2 linked regions of the Macaca fascicularis genome follow. The protein of the gene in region 1 interacts with the protein of each later gene in a biochemical or structural test. Links are inferred from orthologs where the notes say so. Each region holds a gene or a part of one and is shown on either strand. Other genes may lie near its edges. The genes, in order: NUP85 and NUP43.

What was found.
Region 2: the proteins of NUP85 (region 1) and NUP43 form a complex in vitro, tested with the Homo sapiens proteins (2 studies listed by BioGRID). The link is inferred for Macaca fascicularis from reciprocal best matches to the Homo sapiens genes NUP85 and NUP43.

What each region holds. Positions count from the first base shown.
Region 1 is NC_088390.1:81,600,009-81,603,823, forward strand, and holds part of NUP85 (nuclear pore complex protein Nup85), read left to right. Parts: intron 1-656; coding exon 657-727; intron 728-1,802; coding exon 1,803-1,846; intron 1,847-3,815. UniProt on the Homo sapiens protein: Essential component of the nuclear pore complex (NPC) that seems to be required for NPC assembly and maintenance. As part of the NPC Nup107-160 subcomplex plays a role in RNA export and in tethering NUP96/Nup98 and NUP153 to the nucleus.
Region 2 is NC_088378.1:57,729,371-57,733,185, reverse strand, and holds part of NUP43 (nucleoporin Nup43), read left to right. Parts: intron 1-121; coding exon 122-199; intron 200-1,252; coding exon 1,253-1,433; intron 1,434-3,815. UniProt on the Homo sapiens protein: Component of the Nup107-160 subcomplex of the nuclear pore complex (NPC). The Nup107-160 subcomplex is required for the assembly of a functional NPC.

The sequences.
Region 1 (3,815 bases):
ATGATCTTGGCTCACTGCAATCTCCGCCTCCCGAGTTCAAGAGATTCTCCTACCTCAGCCTCCCGAGTAGCTGGGATTTTTTTTTTTTTTTTTTTTTTTGAGACGGAGTCTCGCTCTGTCACCCAGGCTGGAGTGCAGTGGCCGGATCTCAGCTCACTGCAGCCTCCGCCTCCCGGGTTCACGCCATTCTCCGGCCTCAGCCTCCCGAGTAGCTGGGACTACAGGCGCCTGCCACCTCGCCCGGCTAGTTTTTTGTATTTCTTAATAGAGACGGGGTTTCACCATGTTAGCCAGGATGGTCTCGATCTCCTGACCTCGTGATCCGCCCGTCTCGGCCTCCCAAAGTGCTGGGATTACAGGCTTGAGCCACCGCGCCCGGCCGTATCTATTTTTTTGAGACAAGGTCTGACTAGTAGATTTCATCTGCAACAATTAATGTCAGTATGGGTTTATGGATATTAACTTTAGCCCATGGGTTGTTTTGTGGCGTTTTATTTTGTTGCCCAAGTTGTTCCAGCTTCAGAAGGTTACGAGCTCCTTCACAATGGCTCCCCTCTTTCTTTCAGCAAATTTCTACATTTATTTGAGTGTTTTCTTCTTTTCTAGCACTACAAGATGTTCCAGGCTCATCTTGTGTGTTATTTCATTTTTTATAGATTGGTTCGAGTGAGTAAAAACTACCGATCAGTCATAAGAGCATGTATGGAGGAAATGCACCAGGTTGCAAGTAAGGACTGTGTGTGTGTGTGTGTGTGTTTGTGTGTGTGTGTGTTGGTATTTTGAGTATTTATCTATGCATAAATACTGTGAGGTAAAGTTTGATTGATATTCCAGTCCAAAACTTACTTTTCCATCTTTCACAATCTTTACTTTTTTGGTAATCATTTAGAGTATTTTTTTTTTTTTTTTTTTTTTTTTTTGAGACCGAGTGTCACTCTGTCGCCCAGGTTGAAGTGCTGTGGCATGAACTCAGGTCACTGCAACCTCCACCTCCCAGGTTCAAGCGATTCTCCAGCCTCAGCCAGCCTCCTGAGTGGCTGGGACTACAGTTGCATACCACCAAGCCAAGCTAATTTCTGTATTTTTAGTAGAGGTGGGGTTTCACTATGTTGGTCAGGCTGGTCTTGAACTCCTGGTCTCAAGTGATCTGCCTGCCTTGGACTCCCAGAGTGCTGGGATTACAGGAGTCAGCCACTGTGCCTGGACTTTTTTTTTTTTTTTTCCTGAGACAAGGTTGCCCAGGCTGGAGTGCAAAGACACATTGTGGCTCATTGCAGCCGTGACCTCACCTCCTGGGCTCAAGTGATCTTCCTACCTCAGCCTTCCAAGTAGTTGGGATTGCAGGTGTGTACTGGCTATTAAAAAAAATTTTTGTCCCATCTTCCTCAGAGACATTTGTTCTGATAATTTTTAAATTTTTTGTAGAGACAGGGTCTCCCTAATTTTGCCAAGGCTGGTCTTGAACTCCTGGGCTCGAGCAGTCCTTTCACATCAGCCTCCCAAGTGTTGGGCTTACAGGTGTGAGCCACACATGAAGCCACTCTGACAAAGGTCAGAGACCTTTATGGTAACTTTGTTGCAGTTGAAAGTGCCATTTGGTAACTTCAGGGCCTTTGGTTTGAGAATTGAAGGGATATGAAGCATTAATAACAAAAATATCCATAATTAGAAGAGATTATAATTTCTTTTAATTTTTGTCATTAAAGGAAACAAAGGCTCAGGCCATAGACCCTGGAATATTCAGCTATGAAAATAAGCCTAAGAGTTCCATTGCTCACTTAAAATGTTTTGTGTTTCGTTAGTTGCTGCTAAAGATCCAGCCAGCGGCCGCCAGTTCAGCAGCCAGGTAAGGGGAGTCACCTTTGTTGTTTTAGCACCACTGTGTCCTGTGTCCTGGGCACCCACCTGGGGTGGCTTTGCAGTTCCTGTTACGGCAGAAGTCTCTTCAGGTAGATAGGCAGCTCCTTTGGGTGACAGTGATTGTCTTGCCCCTTTCAAGGTCTAGCTCACAAGGAAATGCTTGTTAAATACTTGAGTGAATGTTTGGTTCTTCTTCTTCTTTTTTTTTTTTTTTTTGAGACGGAATCTCGCTCTGTCACTCAGGCTCGAGTGCCCTAGGTTCAAGCAGTTCTCCTGCCTCAGCCTCCAGAATAGCTGGGTCCTACAGGTGCGTACCACCGAGCCCAGCTACTTTTTGTATTTTTAGTAGAGATGGGGTTTCACCATGTTGGCCAGGCTGGTCTCAAACTCTTGAACTCAAGTGATCCACCCGCCTCGACCTCCCAAAGTGGTGGCATTACAGGCGTGAGCCACCGTGCTGGCCCTGAATGTTCAGTTCTTATGGAACATGTATGTCCTGACCAAATTGTGTTGAGGGGTTGTCACCCGAAATGGAGAACTAATCTTGTGAGATCACTGTTCAGTCTCATAAACACTACTCACTTCTCGAACTCAATATTTTTTTTTTTCTTTGAAAGACAGGGTCTCTCTATGTTGTCAAAGCTGGTCTTGAACTCCTGGGCTCAAGTGATCCTCCTGCCTTGGCCTCCCAAAGTGCTGGGATTATAGGTGTGAGCTGCCACACCTAACCAAACTCAACATTTTTACTGAGTTGCAAGTGGCTCTACTTTACTTGGAGCTGGAAGATGACTTTTTCCTTAGTAGATGCTTCATATTAAATACTTTTCAAAGTCAGTAAGTGACTAGGCGGTAATTCAGTGTCTCTGAAGTACCCTTATAAACAAGTCATCGTGGTGTCTGTGGACCGAAGGATGGTGAGGAGAGGAAGCCTGCATATTCCTAAGGGCAAGGTCCAGGTCTGATTTATTTCGGGGTCTTATATTGGGCTTTCCCATTAATAGACTGTTTCCTAAACTTCAGTCCTTGGAATACCAACTTCACAATTCTTGCTCTGTCTACGTGTTTCGTGTCATCTACTGAATATTTTTGTAAATATCGTCTCTTCCTTTTACTCAAATGAAGTCCCTTGCTAAAGCATCAATTCATCGAGGTAGGCTGGGAGCAGTGGCTCACGCCTGTAATCCCAGCACTTTGGGAGGCTGAGGTGGGCGGATCTCTTGGGGTCAGGAGTTCGAGACCATACTGGCCAACATGGAAACCCCGTCTACTAAAAATACAATATTTAGCCAGGCATGGTGGTGTGCACCTGTAATCCCAGCTACTCGGGAGGCTGAGGCAGGAGAATTGCTTGAACCCTGGAGGCAGAGGTTGCAGTGAGCCGAAATCATACCAGTGCACTCCAGCTTGGCTGACAGAGTGAGACTCTGTCTCCAAAAAAAAAAAAAAAAAAAAAATAGCCAGGTGCGGTGGCTCATGCCTGTGATCCCAGCACTTTGGGAGGCCAAGTTGGGGGAGATCACCTGAGGTCAGGAGTTCAAGACCAGCCTGGCCAATGTGGTGAAACCCCGTCTTGACTAAAAATACAAAAAATTAGTTGGGCGTGGTGGCACACGCCTGTAATCCCAGCTACTGGGGAGGCTGAGGCAGGAGAATCACTTGAACCCAGGATGCGGAAGTTGCAGTGAGCCGAGATTACGCCACTGGACTGTAGCTTGGGCAAGAAGAGCCAAACTCCATCTCAAAAAAAATAAAAAAGTAATAATTGGTGACATGCAAGTTATATTTTTTTCTTTTTTTCTTTTCTTTTCTTTTTTTTTTTTTTGAGATGGAGTCTCCCTCTGTTGCCCAGGCTGGAGTGCAGTGGCACGATCTCAGCTCACTGCAAGCTCCGCCTCCTGGGTTCACGCCATTTTCCTGCCTCAGCCTCCCGGGTAGCTGGGACTATACGTGCCCAC
Region 2 (3,815 bases), on another chromosome or scaffold:
CTCATAGGCTCTTTGCTTTTTAAAATTGTTATCATTTGCTACTAATTGAGTTAAATAAATGAATAGATTTCCTCCCTGCTAGTATTTCTGAGTCTTTAACAAGCAGAAATTTTCTCTTTAGTTTTTTGACCAGGAAAGAATTGTCACTGCTTCATCAACAGGATGTGTAACAGTTTTCCTTCACCATCCGAATAACCAGGTAAAGAACTTCAGTTTGAAAAGTGATTTTTTTTTTTTTTTGGAGATGGAGTTCTGCTCTTTTTGCCCAGGCACTGGAGTGCAATGGCACAATCTCGGCTCATCACAAGCTCCGCCTTCCAGCTTCAAGTGATTCTCCTGCCTCAGCCTCCCAAGTAGCTGGGATTACAGGCATGTGACACCATGCCCGGCTAATTTTATATTTTTCGTAGAGACGGGGTTTCTCCATGTTGGTCAGGCTGATCTCGAACTCCTGACCTCAGGTGATCAGCCCTCTTCACCCTCCCAAAGTGCTGGGATTATAGGCATAAGCCACTGCTCCCGGCCAAAGGTAACGTTTCTAATAGACATGCCTAGTAAATATAAGACCCAGTTCGTGTTAAAGGTTTTTTGAGTCATTTAGAAAAAGCTACAGAGATTAATATTTTTTTAATTAATTAATTTATTTATTTTGAGACAGAGTCTCTCTCTGTCGCCCAGGCTGGAGTGCAGTGGCACGATCTCTGCTCACTGCAGCCTGCACCTCCCTGGTTCAAGCAATTCTCCCACCTTAGCTTCCCAAGTAGCTGGGATTACAGGTGTGTGCCACCATACCTGGCTAATTTTTGTATTTTTAGTAGAGATGGGATTTCACCATATTGACCAGGCTGGTCTCGAACTCCTGACCTCAGATGATCTGCCTGCCTTGGCCTCCCAAAGTGCTAGGATTACAGGCATGAGCCACAGCCATGGGCCAGAGATTTATATTTTAGATGTAGGTTAATTTCCATAAGAATACAAAGAGTTGCTTTTGAACATCCAACTGCTTGATCCCTAAAAGTCATTACTGTAGTTTGAGATAAATGTGGGGCATTATTAAACAGTATTTCTTTTGAATCTAATTCTATGTATACAGAACTTTGATGCAAGTAGTTTCTAGATTTCATTATTCTAAAGGAAAAAAGATTTATTCTTGTAGAAGGATGTGAGTCAGAATTTAAAGATACTCTTGTTGGTAAGAAGTGCTAGTTCCTTAGTACTTTTCTTTAATAGTATCCTCATTTCTGATGCCTAGACTCTGTCAGTCAACCAGCAGTGGACTACAGCTCACTACCACGCAGGCCCTGGCAGTCCTTCCTATAGCAGTGCACCATGTACAGGTGTTGTGTGCAATAACCCAGAAATCGTTACAGTTGGAGAGGATGGTCGAATAAATCTCTTCAGAGCTGATCACAAGGAAGCTGTAAGAACCATAGGTAAGAAAAATCCCAGCCTGGCCAACATGGCAAAACCTTGTCTCTATTAAAAATACAAAAGTTAGGCTGGGTGTGGTGGCTCACCCTGGCAATCGCAGCACTTTGGGAGGCGGATCACCTGAGGTTGGGAGTCCAAGACCAGCCTGACCAACATGGAGAAACACTCTCTCTATTAAAAATACAAAATTAGCCGGGAATGGTGGCACATGCCTGTAATCCCAGCTACTTGGGAGGCTGAGGCAGGAGAATCACTTGAACCCGGGAGGCAGAGGTTGCAGTGAGCAGATTGTGACATTGCACTCCAGCCTGGGCAATAAGAGTGAAACTCTGTCTCAAAAAAAAAAAAAAAGAAAAGAAAAGTGAGCCAGGCATGGTGGCGCATGCTTGTAATCCCAGCTACTCAGGAGGCTGAGGCGGGAGAATCACTTGAACCTGAGAGGCGGAGGTTGCGGTGAGCTGTGATGGCACTCTACTCCCACCTGGGTGACAGAGGGAGACTCCATCTCAAAAAAAGAAAAATCATTGTATTCCTTTCATTCATCACAGAGTAATTGAGTGCTTACCATATACTAAGTAAACACTGCCAGGCATGATGGCTCATGCCTGTTACCCCAGCACTTTGGGAGGCCAAGGCAGGCGGATCACAAGGTCGAGAGATTGTGATCATCCTGGCCAACATCGTGAAAGTCTGTCTCTACTAAACATAACAAAAATTAGCTGGGTGTGGTGGCATGCGCCTGTAGTCCCAGCTACTCAGGAGGCTGAGGCAGAAGAAGCGCTTGAACCTGGGAGGTAGAGGTTGCAGTGAGCCAAGATTACACCACTGCACGCTAGCCTGGCGACGAAGCAAGACTCCATCTCAAAAATAAAAGTAAACACAATGAGCCGGGCGCGGTGGCTCACGCCTGTAATCACAATACTTTGGGAGGCCGAGGCGGGCGGATCACAAGATCAGGAGATTGAGACTATCCTGGCTAACATGATGAAACCCCGTCTCTACTAAAAATACAAAAAATTAGCCTGGCATAGTGTCGACAGTTGTCTGTAGTCCCAGCTACTCTGGAGGCTGAGGCAGGAGAATGGCATGAACCTAGGAGGCAGAGCTTGCAGTGAATCGAGATCGCACCACTGCACTCCAGCCTGGGCGACAGAGCGAGACCCCGTCTCAAAAAAAAAAGTAAACACAATGTTAAGTGATTGAGGGATATAAAAATATATGGCTGGTAGCAGTGGCTCATGCCTATAATCCCAGCACATTAGGAAACCAAGGCAAGCAGATCATTTGAGGCCAAGAGTTTGAGACCAGCCTGGCCAACATGGCAAAACCCTGTCTCTACTGAAAGTACAAACATTAGCTGGGCATGGTGGCACACGCCTGTAATCCCAGCTGCTTGGGAGGCTAAGTCATGAGAATTACTTGAACGTGAGAGACTGAGAGGCTGCATTGAGCCAAGATCACGCCACTGCACTCCAGCCTGGGTGACAGAGCAAGACTCAGTCTCAAAAAAATACATGTACACATGCACACACATGCACGCACGGCAGGATCCCTTTGTCAAGAGAGTAGGTTGATGAGGCCAGTACGAATGACTGACTAGAAGAAACAGAAACCATTTTTTTTTTTTTTTTGGCGAGAGGGCATTATCAGATAAAGCATCTGGGAGTAGGTAGTAATTAATAGTTTTTCTGGGTTCTAGACCATAAGTAAGACTGAAAGATGGCGTGCTAGACAAAGGGAATAGGCCAGAGGCAGGATAAAGACATTCAGAGAATGACAAAAAGTATGGTTTGACCTGACTTTAGATATCTATGTAGGAGAGATGAAAGATGAAGCAAGAGAGGGGTAAACTGGGGCCAGATTGCAGAGTCTGTAATGCAAAATCACAGAGGTTTCATCTTTTTTTTTTTTTTTTTTTTTTTTGAGACGGAGTCTTGCTCTGTCACCCAGGCTGGAGTGCAGTGGCCAGATCTCGGCTCACTGCAAGCTCCGCCTCCCGGGTTCACTCCATTCTCCTGCCTCAGCCTCCCGAGTAGCTGGGACTACAGGCACCCACCACCTCGCCCGGCTAGTTTTTTGTAATTTTTAGTAGAGACGGGGTTTCACCGTGTTAGCCAGGATGGTCTCGATCTCCTGACCTCGTGATCTGCCCGTCTCGGCCTCCCAAAGTGCGGGGATTACAGGCTTGAGCCACCGCGCCCGGCCGAGGTTTCATCTTTTAGGTAGAAAACTAAGTGTATTGGTTCTCAACTATGCTTCAGTCAGATTTCTCTGAGGCAATTTTTTAACTGTCCACCACTCTAGACCTCTTAAATCAGAATCTCTAGGAATTGAGCCCATGAATCCATTTTGTGAGTGGTTTTTTTAAGATGTAGTCTCACTCT